Macaca mulatta: one gene and its partner. The protein of the gene in region 1 purifies or fractionates together with the protein of each later gene. This does not show direct contact. Links are inferred from orthologs where the notes say so. Each region holds a gene or a part of one and is shown in the gene's direction. Other genes may lie near its edges.

What was found.
Region 2: the proteins of STAU1 (region 1) and NPM1 purify together in Homo sapiens (affinity purification with mass spectrometry; 3 studies listed by BioGRID and IntAct, with this or other methods). This does not show direct contact. The link is inferred for Macaca mulatta from reciprocal best matches to the Homo sapiens genes STAU1 and NPM1.

The regions. Positions count from the first base shown.
Region 1 is NC_133415.1:102,001,998-102,012,415, reverse strand, and holds the start of STAU1 (double-stranded RNA-binding protein Staufen homolog 1), read left to right. Parts: upstream 1-4,325; 5' UTR 4,326-4,444; intron 4,445-10,418. UniProt on the Homo sapiens protein: Binds double-stranded RNA (regardless of the sequence) and tubulin.
Region 2 is NC_133411.1:180,257,206-180,266,991, forward strand, and holds part of NPM1 (nucleophosmin), read left to right. Parts: intron 1-2,363; coding exon 2,364-2,421; intron 2,422-3,058; coding exon 3,059-3,145; intron 3,146-4,669; exon of another isoform or gene 4,670-4,685; coding exon 4,686-4,787; intron 4,788-5,765; exon of another isoform or gene 5,766-7,076; coding exon 7,077-7,151; intron 7,152-9,786. UniProt on the Homo sapiens protein: Involved in diverse cellular processes such as ribosome biogenesis, centrosome duplication, protein chaperoning, histone assembly, cell proliferation, and regulation of tumor suppressors p53/TP53 and ARF.

The DNA.
Region 1 (10,418 bases):
CTGCCTCAGACGCCTGAGTAGCTGGGACTACAGGTGCGTACCACCACGCCTGGCTAATTTCTGTATGTTTAGTAGAGATGGAGGGGTTTCACCATGTTGGCCAGGCTGGTCTTGAACTCCTGACCTCAAGAGATCTGCCCGCTTTGGCCTCCCAAAGTGCTGGGATTGCAGGCATGAGCCACTGTGCTCGGCCCCATTATATTTTTATGTCTTCTAATTGTTGCTCTTAGATTCTGACATATCCCCAGGGTGCAGACCACCTCAAATAAGCTTGAGAATTACTTATTTAGGCCAGCAAGTAGTTCTCAACCTTGTTTTCCTGTGCTACACATACTACAGGTGACCCTGACATACACCAGTCAACCCTACAGGTGTTCCCTGTTTCTTCGGGACTTTCGCAGAGATAAGCAAGGCTGTAGTTTTTCAGCAGTCTATGGAAATTTATCATGTACCTGTTGTGTCCCTGACACTGTGTTAGGGGCCAGGGACTATCATGATGACTTAATACAGGGTGAGTCTCTGCTGTCATGGAAGTTGATCTCTTAGTCCTAGCCTAATATACTCAACAGATAATTGAAAAATTATGGCCGGGCGCGGTGGCTCAAGCCTGTAATCCCAGCACTTTGGGAGGCCGAGACGGGCTGATCACAAGGTCAGGAGATCGAGACCATCCTGGCTAACACGGTGAAACCCCGTCTCTACTAAAAAATACAAAAACTAGCCAGGCGAGGTGGCGGACGCCTGTAGTCCCAGCTACTCGGGAGGCTGAGGCCGGAGAATGGCGTGAACCCGGGAGGCGGAGCTTGCAGTGAGCTGAGATCCGGCCACTGCACTCCAGTCTGGGCGACAAAGCGAGACTCTGTCTCAACAAAAAAAAAAAAAAAAGAAAAATTATGAGGGTACAAAGTTCTACTAAGAGGCTATGAGAGTGGAACAGAGATAATTCATCAGAGGTTAACATTCACACTTGTAATCCCAGCACCTTGGGAGGCCGAAGTGGGTGGATCACCTGAGGTCAGGAGTTCGAGACCAGCCTGGCCAACATGGCAAAACCCCCATCTGTACTAAAAATACAAAAATTACAGGGCATAGTGGCATGCGCCTGTAGTCTCAGCTACTTAGGAGGCTGAGGCAGGAGAATTGCTTGAGCTTGGAAGGTGGAGGTTGCAATGAGCCGAGATCGTGCCACTGCACTCTAGCCTGGGTGACTGAGTGAGACTCTGTCTCAAAAAAAAAAAAAGGCCGGGGCCTGGTGGCTCACGCCTGTAATCCCAGCACTTTGGGAGGCCGAGACGGGTGGATCACGAGGTCAGGAGATTGAGACCATCCTGGCTAACACGGTGAAACCCCGTCTCTACTAAAAATACAAAAAAAATTAGCCGGGCTCAGTGGCCGGCGCCTGTAGCCCCAGCTACTCGGAAGCTGAGGCAGGAGAATGGCGTGAATCCGGGAGGCGGAGCTTGCAGTGAGCGAGATCGCCCCACTGCACTCCAGCCTGGGAGTGAGACTCCGCCTCAAAAAAAATAAAAAATTAAAATTAAAATCAATATCTCACAGGGCTTTTATGAGCTTTGCATCAGAGAGCCGAGATCACACCATTGCACTTCAGCTTGGGCAACAGAGTGAGACTCTGTCTCAAAAGAAAAAAAAAAAAAAGTCAATGTCTCAAAAGGCTTTTATGAGTTTTGCATGTTTCCATTCCTTAGTTCAAATGCATATAATTTATCTTGTGAGAAGGAACACACAGAATTTATCATAACATACTTAATGCTCACAGTTTCTTGTGAACTAAGAATACATAGCTTCAATCTTTTTCTCAAGATAAAGAAAAATAAGTCCTTAATTACTTAGCAAGAGTCAAGAAGTCTTCAGGATCTGGGAAGAGAATGACTGACAGTTTCTTGAAGAAAACAAATCTAGGTGACCTACTCCTGTTCAGGTACGGTGGCCCACACCTGGAATAATCCCCCCAGTACTTTGGAAGGTCGAGGCAAAAGGATTGCTTGAGCCTAGAAGTTTGAGACCAGCCTGGTCAACTTAGTAACTTAGTAAGACCTTGGGCAACTTAGTAAAACCCTTTCTCTATAAAAAAGGTAAAAAATTAGCTGGGAGTGGTGGCGCATGCCTGTGGTCCCAGCCACTCAGGAGGCTGAGGTAGGAGGATTTCTTGAGCTCAGGAGGTTGAGGCTGCAGTGAGCTGTGTTCATGCCACTGCACTCTAGTTAGGTGACAGGGCGAGACCCAGTCTCAAGAAAAAAAAAAAAGATATGTGGAAGGAGGGAAGAGGGAAGAAAGAAAATTGGGGCTGGAAGTCATAGACCCACCACTTTTGTCCCCATGGGTGATTGCAAAATCACCTTTGATGAGATTGTCTGATTGTGCACAGCTTTGGGTTTAGGGAGACCTCTCTGCATCTGCTCCTTTACCCAAGGAGGTATGGGATCCACACTGCTTGGAAGTTAGAAAGAAAAAAAAGATCACTTTTAGCAGAGGGCTGGACAATATCTGATTGTTGCTTAGTACTGTCTTGGATGGGCACTAAAGGAACGGTGAAAGTCCTTTGACTATTTTTGGTGTTCTGAAATTCAGTGTCTTTGCACTTCACAAGAAGCAATGTATGGAGGCCTTGTCTAGAGAACAGTGTCCTCCCAGGCTTGGCTAAGGCTCCAAAGTCTCGCTTGGAGGGGCTCCTTCAGACACAGCAGCTCGTATTTTGAATTTATATTCCCTTGGCAAGAGAGACTGAGCAATTGTTAGATTGAGAGATATTTAAGAGAGAGAAAATTATTTTTAAATAGTGGGGAAGCAGTCCTAGAGTGAGCAGGAGAGACAAGCTCTGTGTATTTGCAGTTCCTTCACTCATTCTCAGTTTCCTGGACCTCTTACAACACGAGCATAATTTTCACTGAGTCTGATCTCAGAAGTTCAAGATTCTTTTTTTCTTTTTCTTTTTTTTTTTTTTTGAGATGGAGTCTTGCTCTGTTGCCCAGGTTGGAGTGCAACGGCATGATCTTGGCTCACTGCAACCTCCATCTCCGAGGTTCAAAAGATTCTCCTGCCTCAGCCTCCCAAGTAGCTCTGATTACAGGCGCCCACCACTACACCCGGCTAAATTTTTTTTGTATTTTTAGTAGAGATGGTGTTTCCCCATGTTAGTCAGGCTGGTCTTGAACTCCTGACCTCAGGTGATCCGTCGGCCTCGGCTTCCCAAAGTGCTGGGATTACAGGCGTGAGCCACTGATTCTTTACTGGCCACGCTTCCTCCAACCTCCCATATAATACGGCTGCTAAAACCCACTTACTTAGTTTATCTAGATCTGGGTGAAAGAAATAGCAATCTAGCACTTCTTGTCTTTTTTTTTTTTTTTTTTTTTTGAGATCAAGTATCACTCTGTCGCCAAGGCTGGAGTGCAGTGGTGCGATCTCGGCTGCAATCTCCGCCTCCCGGGTGCGGTTCTCCTGCCTCAGCCTCCCGAGTAGCTCGGACTACAGGCGCCCACCACCACGCCCGGCTAATTTTTTGTACTTTTAGTAGAGAGGGGGTTTCACCGTGGTAGCCAGGATGGTCTCGATCGCTTGACCTAGTGATCTGCCCGCCTCGGCCTCCCAAAGTGCTGGGATTACAGGCGTGAGCCACCGCATCCGGGCTATTGTCTTTTATCTCACTGTAAAATTTTCTGATTTTATTTATTGTGTGTTTTACTCACACAAGAATGTAAGCTCTACGAGGGCACGGATTTTTGTCTGTTCACCACTACATTCTTAGCCCTTGGAGCAATGCCTTGCATACAGCAAGCATTTAATAAACATTTACAGATGAAGGAAGAAACAACTGCAGGAAGGAGAGAAAGGAGGGCCAGAGGCAAGACAAGAGGAAAGACCGAGAGAAGGAAGGAAAAAGGAAGTGGAGGAGGAAAGAAGGTAGGCTAGGTTCTCCCAGACACGCTTCAAGTCCAGCAGGCAGCACGAAACTCCCACAACTACAACTCCCGGCAGGCCCCGGGGCCCAGGGCGGCCCGCGGCAGCCTAGGCGGGACAGGGCGCCACTCCCGCTGAGCTCCCGGCGTGCCTTGCGAGCGCAGGCTCCGCCGCAGCGCCCGCCGGAACTTGTGGTCCGGGCCGCGGGTGGGGGGTGGGGCCAGGCCTGGAGGCGGGCGGGGGACGGGGGCGGGCGCCTGCCCCTCCCCCGTCACTTCCTGCCGGGCTGCGGGCGCCGGAGCGGCTCTTCAGCGTTTGCGCCGGCGACCGCCGCGTCTCTCTCGGCTCCTGCTTCCTTTGACCGCCCCCCCACCCCCCGGCCCGGCGGCGCCCGCCTCCTCCACGGCCACTCCGCCTCTTCCCTCCCTTCGTCCCTTCTTCCTCTCCCTTTTTCCTTCCTCCTTCTCCTCCTCGCCGCCACCGCCCAGGACCGCCGGCCGGGGGACGAGCGCGGGGCAGCAGCCAGGTGAGGCGACCGGGCCGAGCCGGGCCTGGCGGAGCCCGCGCGGGCGCCGCGGTGGTGGGGAGGTGGGCGGCGGGTGGGGCCTAGGCCTCGGCGGGCCCGCGCGCCCCGCCGCCTTCCCCCGGGCCTATGTAGCCCGCGGGGCCTTCCCGGAGGAGGCGGGTCCTCTTGCGCCCCCCGCCTCCGGGCGCCCTGAGGCCTGGCCTCGGGCGCCCCCATCTCCTCCAGCCCTCGCCGGTGTCACAAACAGGTGCCGCGGCCGCCTTTCCTCGTCCCGCATGGCGCGCGCGGGGATGCCGAAGTTATTCCCGGGGCTGGGGCGCGGGTTGGGGGGTGGACCGCTTCAGGTCCCCTAGGGCTGGAGCCTCTCAGTGTCGCCGGCCCAGGTCTGTAGCTTAGTGGTTAAGAGCACGGCCCAGGTGTCCAAAACGGGTGCCAAACCCGGCTCTGCCCCATTAGGCAAGACACTTAAACTCTTTGTGTCTTGGTTGGAAAGGGGGCTGCTAATACCGTCCCTGCCTCTTAAGACTGTTAGGGTTCAGTGAAATGGGGCGTGTAAAGCGCTTATCAGAGTGCCAGACGCAGAGCGTGTCCCAATAAACCGTCTGCATAATTTATTAGCGTGATATGAAGGTATAATTTAATGGACAGAGTGGATAGAAGTTGACCTACCTATCCGTTTGGGTTTCTTAGAGGCTGCAGTGTTCCGCGTGCCCATGTCCAGAGCCAGGGCATTGTTTTGAGTTCTTAACATCTGAAAGGGGCGTACGCTTAATTGGTACATTGTCGTTTGCAGTCTGTAAACGATGGATGCTATTTCTTTCCATGTCCTCCGCTTAGCCAACTGCAGGATATTCACCATCTCACGCAGGATGAGCAACCTGTCCATTTCCCCCCGCCCCGCCATCAGCCAGCTTCTTGTTGTCATTCCATTTCTGGGAAAGTTGCTGGCAGAAGCTTCCCTTGAGTTGAGCAAACCTATCTGGAGCACTTGCTGTGTATCAGGCTCTGAAGCGGGGTGTACGAAGATGGAAAAATTTGTCTGTCTGTTCTTTCTCTACACCTCGATAAGTTTTTTTCGCTGAAGCTTTGCTTATATTCCCCCCTCCCTGTTGGCTTTCCTTTTAAGCCCTTGCCCCGCCTCCGTGTTGCAGTATTGCTTGTGTGGAAGTTTTCTCCTGTTCCGCGAAGATACGTGCTTCAGTCTATTCTGCCACTGTTCTTCGGCTGTGTGGACGTTTTTAAGTTCACACTTCTCTTCTGCTTGTAGCTTTCATTGTTAAGAGCGTGGTGGAAAGAGTTCAGTCAGGTTCCTGGTTGATTTTGGCCTTTCAGGAATCCGTGCTTACCAAATGTAAATTACATTGCTACTTGTTGAGGTAAAAACTAAAAATACAGTTGGAGTGTAGAGGGAGCAGTTTCGGTTTTCCTGGTGACAGGTGGGATTTTTAGTACAGCAACTTTATTAAAGCATACTGGGTTTTGAAAAATTCTGTACTTAGTTTTATAGGTGTACTCTAAGGAAATGCAACTTATGGGTGTTCAATTTTATACGAGTAAGGAGTGTGTGTTTACCTCAGTGATCCTCCTGTATCTTAGGATTGTTTTAGGCATTAAATTTCTTTAGTGGACTGAAAATATTTTTACTTATACGCTTCTCAACACACATGCGGCAAAGTGGCCTCCTTGTTTTTGACATTTTCCTAGAATTTTCTGACAGTCTTACCATTGTTTCTAATTTAAAATATTTGTTTGAATTTTTTTTTTTTTTTTTTTTTTTTTTTTTGAGATAGCCTCACGCTATCGCCCAGGCTGGAGTGCAGTGGCACGATCTCGGCTCATTGCAACCTCTGCCGCCTGGGTTCAAGCGATTCTCCTGTCTCAGCCTACCGAGTAGCTGGGATTACAGGCGCCCGCCGCCGCACCGTGTTAATTTTTGTAGTTTTAATAGAGACAGGGTTTTGACATGTTGGCCAGACTGATCTTGAACTCCTAACCTTGTTATCCACCCGCCTCGGCCTCCATAAGCAGGTTAGGCGCGGTGGCTCATGTCTGTAATCCCAGCACTTTGGGAGGCCGAGGCGGGTGGATCACGAGGTCAGGAGACGGAGACCATACTGGCCAACATGGTGAAACCCCGTCGCCACTGAAAATACAAAAAGTAGCCGGATGCGGTGTCGGGCGCCTGCAGTCCCAGCTACTCGTGAGGCCGAGGCAGGAGAATCGCTTGAACCCAGGAGGCGGAGGTTGCCTGTGCGACAGAGCGAGACTGTCTCAAACAAACAAACAAACAAACAAAAAACCCAAAAAAACCACGTAAGCAAACAACTATACAAACAGTGTAAAGCATGTCTAATACTGCCATATCGCTATGGCATATTGCAATAGGGAAATGGTATTTTAAATACCATTTAAAAAAATCTTTTTATTCTGGAAAATATGTAAAACTCGAATAGTATGGAGAACCCCATGTATTAGTCACTCACTCAGCTTTGACAATTATTAACTCATAGCCAAGGTCGGTTTTGTTTCATGTTGTATCCCCCCACACAAACTAGATTATTTTGAAACAAATCTTAAACGTTGTATAGCAACATTAGCGATTTTGGCTTTTACCAGATTGCTCTTGATTAATGTCACAAAATTTACTTTTAGTAGAATAATAGTTCTCATTTTGTTCGTTGGGCTTCCCTTCTCTGTTTATAAATGGTTTCTGTACAGCAGAAAGGAAAAGGAAAATTAACTCTTGATTCAATGCTTTCAGCTCCTCAAAGTCAAAATACAGCCTTGCTTCTTTGTTGTGTACAAAAGCAAAAATTCTTGAGCTATTAATGACTGTAATTGAAAAGCAAACAGAAATACAGATCTCCCTAGTCCTGTTTGGCAGAGACCTGCCTGTTAACCCACTTTAATAGAGATAACTTTGTGTCAACGTTAAACTACAGTTAATAATTCGTAACGAAAACTTAAAAAGTTTCTTTACAGTAGTTGTGTAAAGATACTGCTGTTACCTTAGGTTAAGAATTAAGCAAAAGATAATCTTTTATCATAGAATTGTTTTCCAAAGAGCCCCCATGTGCTCTATTTCCAAATAACAAATTTAGCAAATATGAATGAAACCTTAATTTTTGTGAATAGTATGAAATCACAGCATGAGTGTTCACGTTTTTCTTTCTTGTGTCTAAAAGATCTCTCTTACAATGGAATTTGACAGGAATATTATAAATGTTTGTCATTGTTGCATAACTTTCAAATTTCTATTCATGAATAGTTTTCAGCTTTTATATCTGTAACGTTATTTCAGGTTTGTAGGTTTACTTTTGAGCTTGATCTGGTACAGTGGAAATGTTACATGTTACGTTTTAGTTATTACTACCTGGAAGATGGGGAAGGATACACCTCTTAAAATTGATTTAGGAAAGAAACACCAATTTAGTATCTGGGAAAGGACACAACACATTTTAGAAAATGTGTAGTGCTTCTCATTAAGCTTAAAGTAAAAATTATAAGCATTGAGAATTGTTACCATAAATAGAGTTTCTTCAGAATAAGTTGCTCTCTTTTATGCTTCAGCCAGAAAGCCCAGGTATATACAGATTACAGCAGATCCTTGAATAATGTTGTTTCAAGATAATGTGAGGAAAAAAACTGTTTGTGGAGTTTGCACGTTCTCCCTATCCCTGCATGGGTTTTCTCGGGGTACTCTTGATTTCCTCCCACATCCCAAAGCTGTGCACATGAGGTTCACTGGTGTGTGGAGCAGTGTGTGTATGTGTGAGTGCTTTCTGCAGTGGATGTCCTGTCCAGGGCTGGTTCCGGCCTTGCACTCTGAGCTGCTGGGATAGGCTCCAGCCACCCCAACCCTGAACTGGAATAAGTGGTAAATTTTTTTTTTTTGAGATGGAGTTTCACTCTTGTCGCCCAGGCTGTGTGCAATCTCGGTTTACTGCAGCCCCACGCCTGTAATCCCAGAACTTTGGGAGGCTGAGGCGGGCAGATCACCTGAGATCAGGAGTTGGAGACCAGCTGGCCAGCATGGCGAAACCCTGTCTCTACTAAAAATACAAAAAATTAGCCAGGCTTGTTGGTGGGCGCCTGTAATCCCAGCTAGTCAGGAGGCTGAGGCAGGAGAGTCACTTGAGCCTGGGAGGCAGAGGTTGCAGTGAGCGGTTATCATGCCATTGCACTCCAGCCTGGGCAACAAGAGCGGAAGTATGTCTCAAAAAAAAAATTATATCTACTTCACATTTATTTCAGTGTTTAATATTAGAAGTGTTTGGTCTTTATTTGAAAGTTTGGTGATGTTTTTCTGATGAGAAATATGCCCTAGAACCTAACTCTTCTTTGTATCAGTTAGCCTGTGTTAGTCGGAAGTCTCAGTTTCCCAGAACCTATCCCTTACATTAAGAGAGGATTTACTGTGTTTTAAGTTTAGAAATGGCCATGACTCATGGAACTCTCCTCCACCCCCATTCTAAAGTCCAGATCATTAATATCATTCTGGGTGTTATCAAACTGGATGCTGCTTCATCCCGTCTCTCTCCCCAATACCACAAGGTAGTCTTAGTTTGTAGGGCAGCTTTCTTTCTTTTTTTTTTTTTTTTTTTTGTGAGACCGAGTCTCACTCTGTCACCCAGGCTGGAGTGCTATGGCGTAGTCTCAGCTAACTGCAAGCTCCGCCTCCTGGGTTGAAGCCATTCTCCCGCCTCAGCCTCCCGAGTAGCTGGGACTACAGGCGCCCGCCACCACGCCCAGCTAATTTTTTGTATTTTTAGTAGAGACGGGGTTTCACCGTGTTGGCTAGGATAGTCTCCATCTCCTGACCTTGTGATCCCGCCCACCTCGGCCTCCCAAAGTGCTGGGGTTACAGGCGTGAGCCACCACGCCTGGCCTGTAGGGCAACTTTCTTTGAGCCTTTTTACTGGATTGAGTAAGAGTGTAATTCAGCATAAAGATGAAACTTTCATGAAAAAGGTATCTTTTTGTGGGATTCCACAAGCCAGTTCCAGAGTTTGTTGCCCAGGCTGATCTTGAACTCCTGAGCTCAAGTGATCCTCCCACCTCAGCCTCCTTAGTAGCTGCAATTATAGGCAGAGGCCTTGTTTTCATGAGCTTCTATTTGATGTCATATTTAGTGATGCAGAATTGTTCAGTTTGAGGAAGTATAAATTCCTCCCCTCTCAAGAGCTTTGAGGTAGCTTTTTTAGAGCTTTCAAAAATATTTAGAGAATTTTATGACAGATTTGTTTCACATTAGACCTATAACAGGTTATTTTACCTTGACTTCTGGTGATGGAGACATTTGTGGTTGAAATGCTTCTCGTGTAATTTTCTACATGAGGTTTTCTTTAAATAAAACTTCACCAGAATCAAGGCTGTATACCATTTGTGCTGTTCCAAAAAGTATAAATTGCCAGTTAACGGTTGAACTATGAGAGGGCATGTTAGTTGCTATGATTATTTACCCCCACCATTTTATTATGAAAAATTTCAAACATATTAACAAAGTTTATGAAGTTTTATTGTACATCTCTTTAGATACTGTCTACTTTCTGTTTATTTCTGCCCTGTTTCATGGTGGTGAATACCATCTACTCTTTATCATTAACATTTTACCATACAGTATTATGAAGCTTGAATAATGTTGGCTAAATCCATTGTTCTCACCTGCTAAGGAGATAATAGGATTATAAATATATAGCTAAGTTTATCTTATCAAATGCCACCGGATGGATGGCTTAGATATCTGTCTTATTGACAGCTTAATGCTCTGAACTAGAAAACCTTACCAAAAGAAAAGTAATATTTTTAAAGTGGTAAAATGGAAATTACTGCAAATAGCTTAATTTATTTTTTAAATGTTTACATTCCCATACTAGTGAATAAGGTTGATGTAACAGTGATTTATGTCACCAGATAAATGGAAGTAGAGAAAAATCCCTCAGGCTGTTAATTACTGTATATTTTCTGGGATTAC
Region 2 (9,786 bases), on another chromosome or scaffold:
TCTCTTTCTGTTGCCCAGGCTTGAGTGCAATGATGTGATCTTGGCTCTTGCTCACTGCAACCTCCTCCTCCCTTGTTCAAGCAGTTCCCCTGCTTCTTCCAAGGATTACAGGCATCCCCCGATCCCTTCCATGCCCGGCTAATTTTCTGTATTTTTAATAGAGACTGGGTTTCACCATGTTGGCCAGGCTGGTCTTGAACTCCTGATTTCAGGCCTGTCTCGGCCTCCCACAAGTGCTGGGATTACAGGCGTTGAGCCACTGCACCGGGCCTAAGAATTCTTTATACATTCTGCAAACAAGCACCTTATCAGACGCATGATTTGCAGATTATCTTCCACTATTCTGTGAATTGTCATTTAACTTTCATGATGGTGGCCTTTGACCCAAGTTTTAAATTTTTATGTCTGATTTCTTTTGTTGCTTGTGCCTTTGGTGTCAATCCTAAGAAATCATTGCTAAATTCAAAGTTGTGAAAATTTACCCCCTTAATTCTGAGTTTTGTCCTGTAGCTTTATTTAGCGCTTTGTTCCATTTTGAGTAAATATCTGTGTATGGTGTGAATGGAGGGGTCCAAATATAGACTTTGGGGTGTAGATGAGCAGTTTCCCCAAATGATTTGTTCCAAAACTTTTTTCCCCATTGAAGGATCTTGGCAACCTTTAAAAGAGTCACTTACGGCCCGGTACGGTGGCTCACGCCTGTAATCCCCGCACTTTGAGAGTCCCAGGCAGGTGGATCACGACCAGGAGATAGAGACTATCCTGGCCAATATGGTGAAACCCTGTCTCTACTAAAAATACAAATTTTAGCTGGGCATGGTAGCTTGTGTCTGTAGTACCACCTACTCAGGAGGCTGAGGCTGGAGAATTCGCTTGAACCTGGGGGGCAAAGGTTGTAGTGATTAGAGATTGCGCCACTGTACTCCAGCCTGTGACAGAGTGAGATTCCATCTCAAAAAACAAAAAAAAATCACTTACTATAAATATACGTATTTATTTATGGTCTGTTTGTTGATATATGTGTCTATCCTTAACAGGTAAGAACAGTTACAACACTGTTCCTTTGCAGTTTTTTTTTTTTTTTTTTTAAATGAGTCTCTCTCTGTCATCCAGGCTGGAAGCACAATGGTGCGATCTTGGCTTACTGCAACCTCCGCCTCCCGGGTCTTCCTGCTTCAGCTTCCTAAGTAGCTGGGATTACAGGTGCCCGCCACCACTCCTGGATAATTTTTGTATTTTTAGTAGAGACTGGGTTTCTCCCTGTTGGCCAGGCTGGTCTCAAAACTCCTGACCTCAGGTGATCCAGCTGCCTCGGCCTCCTAAAAAGTATTGGGATTACAAGCATCAGCCATGGTGCCTTGACCCCTTCGTAGGTCTTATAGCTGATTTTTTGAAATCAAGTGTGAGTTCTCTAGCTTTGTTCCTTTCAAGATTGCATTTGGCCTCTTTGGGTCCCTTAAGTGTCTTTTTTTGTTTTTGTTCTTTGAGATAGGGTCTTGCTCTGTCACCCAGGCTGGAGTGCAGTGGCAGAATTACACAGTTACAGTCTCAAGTAGATCCTTCTGCCTTAGCTTTTCAAGTAGCTGGGACTACAGGCACACACAACCACGTCTGCTAATTAAATTTTTTTTTTTTGTAGAGAGGGTTCTCATGTTGCCTAGGCTGGTCTCGAACTCAAATGAGATCCTCCCACCTCAGCCTCCCAAAGTGTTAGGATTATAGTTGTGACACACTGCCGACTCTTGGGTTTATATATAAATTTTAGGATCTATTTCTACAGAGAAACCAGCTTGGGGAGTCTTCTAAGGATTGTATTTAACCTGTGTATTTGGGGAGTGTTGCCATCTTGGCAATATCTGAACATGGAATGTTTCTATTTAGGTCTTTAGTTTTTTTTTTTTAAACATAAATTTACTCTATTTGAGTGTACAGTTTAACTGTACATTACTTAAATATACATATATTATACATTGGCATAGTGTATATTCATGCAAAACTACTTATTGAGCAGCTTTGTTTCCCAGCCCCTAGTGATCACAATTATACCTTCCATTTCTTTTGAGTTTGACTACTTTTGGATACTTAATGAATAGAATCATACAGTGTTTTTTTTGTGGGTGGCTTATTTTACTTTGTTCAAGGTTCAGTCATATAGCATGCAAGAGGATTTTCATCGTGTGTGCGTAAACATTTTCATTATTCAGCCATTTAACAGTTGGGTTGCTTTCATCTCTTGGCTGTTGTGAACAATGAATGCTTCGATTAACACGGTGCACAAATAATCACGTCAAGGTCCTGCTTTCAATTCTTGTGTCTACTCCCAAATTTTGAAAGTGCTTAATGTCTTGATGTTTCATTTGTAGTGATGATGATGATGATTTTGATGATGAGGAAGCTGAAGAAAAAGCACCAGTGAAGAAAGTGAGTAGATACAATGCTACAAGGTTGTTAAACTAACAATAGAAATAGTAATTTTTTAGTGCTATTTGCTTGTTTTGTAGTTGAGGGAAGCTGGTGTGGGAGATCATCTCATACTGAAAATTAGTTCTGAGGAGGACTACAGAAAACTTATAGTGGGGAATGGTCTGTTTTCTTTATCCATGTAGCCCTCCACCCAATTTGTTAGTCTTGTGTAACCTTTTATTCAAGTGGTTGCTGCTTTTTCTTTTCTTTTTTTCTTTTTTTTTTTTTGAGACGGAGTCTGTCACCCAGACTGGAGTACAGTGGCGCAATCTCGGCTCACTGCAACCTCTGCCTCCCGGGTTGAAGTGATTCTCCTGCCTCAGCCTCCTGAGTAGCTGGAATTACAGACTCAGGCCACCACACCCAGCTAATTTTTGCATTTTTAGTAGAGATGGAGTTTCACCATGTTGGCCAGGCAGGTCTTGAACTCCTGACCTCATGATCTACTTGCCTCGGCCTCCCAAAGTCCTGGGATTACAGGCGTGAGCCACTGCGCCCAGCCTGTGGTTGCTGCTTTTCTTACATGGCTTGGACAGTACTGTTTGCACTGTTGCTGGGGTCAGGGACAGTGATTAAGATAAATTTCTAATTGCAGTCTATACGAGATACTCCAGCCAAAAATGCACAAAAGTCAAATCAGAATGGAAAAGACTCAAAACCATCATCAACACCAAGATCAAAAGTAAGTGGTTACATTTACATATGGGTCTCATTGATACAGTCGGGGAAAAAAGATTCTACTGTTGTGGAAGAATCTAGTGTGTCTGAAATTTCATAGGCCTTTATAGAACCCCTGTAATTGCTGTTTTAAAGTTTAAATCAGCTTGCTGCAGCCGGGCGCAGTGGCTTACTCCTGTAATCCCAGCACTTTGGGAGGGAGGCTAAGGTTGGTGGGATCACCTGAGGTCAGGAGTTTGAGACTAGCCTGGCCAACAACGTGAAACCCTGTCCTTACTAAAAACACAAAAATTAGCCAGGCATGGTGGTATGTTCCTGTAATTCCACCTACTCAGGAGGCGGAGGTTGCAGTGATTGTACCACTGCACTCCAGCTTGGGCGAAAGAGTCAGACTCTGCCTCCAAAAAAAAAAAAAAAAATCAGCTTGTTATGTGTTATAGGTACACACAGACAAACATACTAAGTAATGTGCTGCTGGGGTTCCAGTGGCGGGGGGAACCAATGGACTTTTTTGAGAGAGACGGACCCTCGCTTTGTCAGTGAGTCTGGGTTAGAGCTGCATGATCTCGGCTTGCTGCAACTTTCACTTCCTGGGTTCAAGCGATTCTCCTCCCTCAGCTTCTCAAGTAGCTAGGACTACACGTGTGTGCCACCAGGCCCAGCTTATTTTTGTATTTTTGAGTAGAGGTCGGGTTTCACTATATACGTTGGCCAGGCTGGTCTTGAACTCCTGACTGCAGGTGATCTGCCCTCCTGGGCCTCCCAGAGTGCTGAGATTATAGGCGTGAGCCACCACGCCTGGCTTGAATTTTTTATGATTGTGAAGTCAATAGTTGTTTCCTGTAAGGAATCTTTGTTGAAAAGTATACCTGCATAGAGTAGAGATTCTCAACCTTGGCTGCACATTAGATTGAAGTAGAACATTTAGGGCCAGACAGGGTGTGATGGTCTCCTTTCTGGCCTTACCCCCTTCCCTGCAGAAAATGGAATTTAAAGGAGAAAAACTTTAAAAGAACCCAACACTGTGCTCTGCTTATGGAGATTATCATGAAATTGGTCTGGGGTGGGCCCCAGGCATCAGACTGCAATGACTTTCTTGCTTTATTCTTAGGGATCTTCTGATTTCATTTTTTGAACTGAGTATTGTGCATTAAAAAGTGAACTCCCAAGTTACTCCTTTTTTTTTTTTTTTTTTTTTTTTTTTAAAAAAAAGACGGGTGTCCTACTCTTGCCCAGTTGGGAGTACAGTGGTATGATCATAGCTCTCTCTACAGCCTCCAGCTGCTGGGCTCAAGCAATCTTCCCGCTTTAGCCTCCTGAGTAGCTGGGATTATAGGCATATGCACCACCATGCCTAGCTAATCTTACAAGAAAGATTTTTAAGAACAAAATTGTATGGTGTGAATTTATTGATAATTCCAGTTGTATAATTAGCTTTATAAGGGAGTTTTGTAAGACTATTTGAGGAAATCCAGATAGAATGGGTTTTAAATTAGGAGTTGTATTTATTCTTATGACCTTTTGGAAGTTCATTTCCTTTTCAGGGACAAGAATCCTTCAAAAAACAGGAAAAAACTCCTAAAACACCAAAAGGACCTAGTTCTGTAGAAGACATTAAAGCAAAAATGCAAGCAAGTATAGAAAAAGTGAGTAAAGTTATTTAAAAAAAAACTTTCTCCCTGCTCAAATTGCATGTGTCTAGTTTGCGTAGACTTGAATGTTTCTTGTTTTTTTTGTTTTGGTTTAATGTACTTGCCCTGTTCGTGGTATGAATTTTTTTAAAAATGAATTATAAAACATTTATAATCGTGTCTATGGTGATTTGCATATGCAAAATTAAATATGCCTTATTTTCCATTATAAAAGGAATGTAGTGCACTGGTTGCAAGATAACATTCTGACCTTCCATGTTAAAATAGATCAGTGAGAACCCTTGACCTATTCTGGTTGTAAGATATGCTAGAGAACCAACAGAGGGCGTATGAGACTTCATTAAAATTGCAAACAGCTGGAAAAGTAGACTGTTTGGTTGGTATTATAGTTAAATATTCATGATTGACCCTAGTCAGAAGTAATTTTCAGCAGATTGAGACATTTCTGTTTGCCCTTTACACCAAGTTGTCACCAGTTAAATACGTGTAGTAATAGATTTTGTGAATGACTAATAGGTTTAAATCTAGTTTCCTTTTGTCTTAAATAATGGAAATGTGGGAAGACGATTAGGTCTCTTGTCTGATTGACTTGAGTAGGATATGAAATAAATGGTTTAAATGCCTTGGAAGCACATTTGAGAGAAGCTTTAATTCAATGAACAATACTTTTAGACTGCAATTATTGAGAACAAATGTGGGGTGGTAAGGAAAAATTGCCAACTCATTTCCCCATGTTTTTCCTGTACTCTATAGATTTTTTGTTGGCTTGTGTAGATTTCCTTGTACAGTGATAAGTCCACTGGAAAAAAAATTTTAGAACTGGAACATATTTCTTGTTTTAGTCACACTGGAAACCCTTTAGCCTTCCTGCTTATCAGATTTTTGTCCCTTGGATACAATGCTGAAATGACATATTTTAGATTCCCCTCCCCTCCATTTTAATATGGTCCTATCTCCTTGGTTTAATTGCAGGCGCATTGAACAGCCCTGGGCACTACATGTAAATTAAGCCCAAAGATGGGGAGAAAGGAAAAGGAGAGACAAATATAGTCCATACTGAGTGTCATCAACAATCCAGACTGAAGTCTTCTATTTTAATCTCAATCCCCTTTTCTGATTTGCCACCCATGCCTCTTCAGGCTGGAAACAATCTCACTCTTGGTTCCCTAAAGCACTTTCTTCTGACTGCTGTGATTCAGTGAACCTTGCCCTTTGCTTTCTATTACTTGTGCATTTGCCTCACCTCTGACAATGTTTTAAATCGCCTTTGTATCTCCTTAGCTGCTCAATAAATATTTGAATGAATCAATTAAGAATGTATGTGACAATAATTTTGAAATGGAAATTGAGGTTTATTTTACTAGGTTATTGGAGGCAGTTAAGTTTCTTAATGCTATACTTGATTCTGCCAAGGTCCCTTGGACATTTGAAAACCTTTTCAATCTTTTAAAAATGCATAAAAGATACTTAGAGGGAAAGGTATTAAATTTAATAAAAACAGATATATTCAGTGCTTTAAGGTAATTCCAAAGTAGTGATAAATAAACATTTCAAGATATTTGCAATAGTAATGTTTTGAAATTTTGGTGACAAAAAGTTACAGGTATCGCCAACACTGTTGTAGTTTCTTGCCTATATCCATAATTTGAAGGAAAATGGTAAGAGTGATTAGTGAAGTGTAATTACTGTAATTTCTCCCCCATTGTAGTTTCTTGCATATATCCGTAATTTGAAGGAAATGGTAAGAGTGATTAGTGAAATGTAATTACTGTAATTTTTTCCCCATTCAACTTTATATATCTTTAACTGATGACCAGATCATTGTTGTTCTGAACTGGTTTGTGATCAACAAGTGTTTTGTGGGGTTTTGTTTTTTTTTAAACAACAGTTTGGGTCACTTGACATGGTTCTCCAAAGGAGTGTTACAGGTTGTGTTTGGTTCTGGGTGATAAAACCGGCTTGTTAGATAATACAGATAAGCAACCGAGTTGCCATGTCATGTTTGTCTGTAGAATCTCAAGTGTAGCTTTTATTTTATGTTCCTAGAGAGGTCGTCTGGGAAGATTTGACCCTTTGGCAAATCTGTTTGAATAGAGATACTAGCCATGCTGCCCAATAGGGCTTTCTGGCCCTGAAAAAGACATTGAGTATTCTTGGAAAGTTGAAGGGAAAAGGAGTAAACTGCTCTATGTAGTAGCATTGCAGATTATTGAGGAATTTTCTAAAGGTATCTCTCTCAGTGTATTTCTCTACTTACCTGTAATAATGCTTTTGTCTCAATAGGGTGGTTCTCTTCCCAAAGTGGAAGCCAAGTTCATCAATTATGTGAAGAATTGCTTCCGGATGACTGACCAAGAGGTAACTGAATTTTCTGGGGACAAGATGAAGTCCAAGTTTTTCGTGATTTATTATGATTCTGCCTTTACCCTTTTTAAGTGTTGGCTCTTTTTAAAAAGTTCCTAGCCACAGATAATTCATTTAATGAAATAATCTGAAAATTCATGTATTTAATGAAATACATGAAGAATACAGTTGGCAGTCTGAGACGATAACTTTAGTATATTTTTTCCAAATTTCCTATAGTTGGCAAATTATTTCTTGGTTATTGAATTCAGTTTTACTTTTTTGGTACTATTTTGGCTAAGGAAATTGCTGTGGTTTTCCTTGTTGCTCCATTTGGCGGCTTGGGGCAGTCTGGTCTTTGCTTTTTTGGGAGTTGGTAGAGATCTTTTTTTTTTTTTTTTCCATAGATCTTATGGGAAATACATTTTGCCAAAATCATCCTAACGTGAAACCTGGAAGCAAGACACTAAATTGTGGCTACTACTAGATATATAAGCTTGAGTTTAGCTGTTAGATTTTACAATTAGTACGAAAGTCTTCGTCAACATACAGTTTATGCATTTATTTTTGCTCTTATTTACAGTTGACTTTTTTTTGTTTTTTTTTTTTTTTTTGAGACGGAGTCTCGCTGTGTCTCCCAGGCTGGAGTGCAGTGGCGTGATCTCGGCTCACTGCAAGCTCCGCCTCCCGGGTTCACGCCATTCTCCCGCCTCAGCCTCCCAAGTAGCTTGAGACTACAGGCGCCCGCCACCACGCCCGGCTAGTTTTTTGTATTTTTAGTAGAGACGGGGTTTCACCATGTTAGCCAGGATAGTCTCGATCTCCTGACCTCGTGATCCACCCGCCTCAGCCTCCCAAAGTGCTGGGATTACAGGCTTGAGCCACCGCGCCCGGCCTTACAGTTGACTTATAAGTGTAAGGAAAATGTAAAAGTGGTTAAATAGGGACGTTAGGTAGGTATCGTGTAGAGAACCGATGGCTGCATTTAATGGTTTTTAGGTTTCCTGTAGTCAGCTTTTTTCAGAAAATTTGGCAATTAGCTGGTTTTTTTCTGCCATAATATTTAGCAGGTCAGTTATTTTAATTGCACCTTAATTTTTAGTTTTTGGGTTTGTAAAACCCTGATTTGGTTAATTTTGACTTGAGCTTTGCTAAAGTTGCAGTGATGGGCTTTAAGATGATCAGATTCAGTCTTTGATTTGGTTAATTTTGACTTGAGCTTTGCTAAAGTTGCAGTGATGGGCTTTAAGATGATCAGATTCAGTCTTTTGGTTGCTATTCTGTTTTTTCTCTACATTTGAATCCCAAAGTTTAAAGTGTGAGTTTTGGGAGTTTATTTGGCATACTAAACATTGATTGAGCATAAGTTATTTTGAAACTTTATACAACAGGTTATTTTGAAGCATTATGCAACAGGTTATTTAATATTGAAAATAGTGGAAAGTCAGACATAAATAACCAATATGTACTAACAAGTAAGCATAAGAGATGCATTTCTTCAAGTACAGCCAAGGAAAGTGATAATTTAATGATTAAGTTGCAGTGGTCGTCTGTACTTTATAACAAAGGCTTGTAGCTACAAAGTTTTGTAGCTATTAAATTACTGAACCAGCACTTCTACCAGAAGTATTTTGTTTTTAAAAGTATTTTTGCCCAGGTTGGTCTTGAACTCCTGGCCTCAAGCAGTCCTCCCAAGTTGGCCTCCCAAAGTGCTAGGATTACAGGCACGAGCCACCTTGCCCAGCCTACCAGAAGTATTATCTTGCTCTAGAATTGAAAGTATTCTCGTGTCAGAATGAAATTTCTGCAATAAATAGTAAATGTTTAATAACTTGAATTACTATTAGAGATTATCAAAACTAAATGCTTCCCGTCTTTGACATAGAGATGCAAGATGCAAGCAGTGACAATGTATATTTGTTTGAACCTGATGATGAGAAGATCTTTGGCTGGGCGTGGTAGTTCATGCCTATAATCCCAGCACTTTGGGAAGCAGCATGGCAAAACTCCGTCTCTACTAAAAATAATAAATTTAGCTGGGCATGGTGGCGTGTACCTGTAATCCCACCCACTCAAGAGGCTGAGGCAGGAGGATCGCTTGAACCTGGGAGGCAGAGGTTGCAGTGAGTGCCACTGCACTCCATCCTGGGTGGCAGAGTGAGAGTCCATCTCAACAAAAAAAGATTTCTATGATATTTAATATTGGCATTCAGTATTCAGTTATCTTGTACCTGAGAACCCATTGGCTGTGAAACAGTGACAGCTGAGAGAATCCTGTCATCTCATTTTCTAGTTTTTGGTGAACTTCTGGATTTTTATTCAGAACCACCTCGCCATGTTGGCCAGGCTGGTCTTGAACTCCTGACCTCAGGTGATCCACCATCTCGGCCTCCTGAAGTGCTGGGATTACAGGCGTGAGCCACCATGTCTGGCCAGCTGTTTTTTGTTTGCTTTTTGTTTTTGGGTTTGCTTTGGTCACCCGTCTGTAGTGTGATCTTGGCTCACTGCAACCTCTGCCTCTTGGGCTCAGGCAACCCTCCCTCCTCAGCCTCCTGAGTAGCTGGGCCTCATGTAGTTGCACACCACCATGCCCAGCTAATTTTTGCGTTTTTAGTAGACAGGGTTTCACCATGTTGCCAAGGCTGGTCTC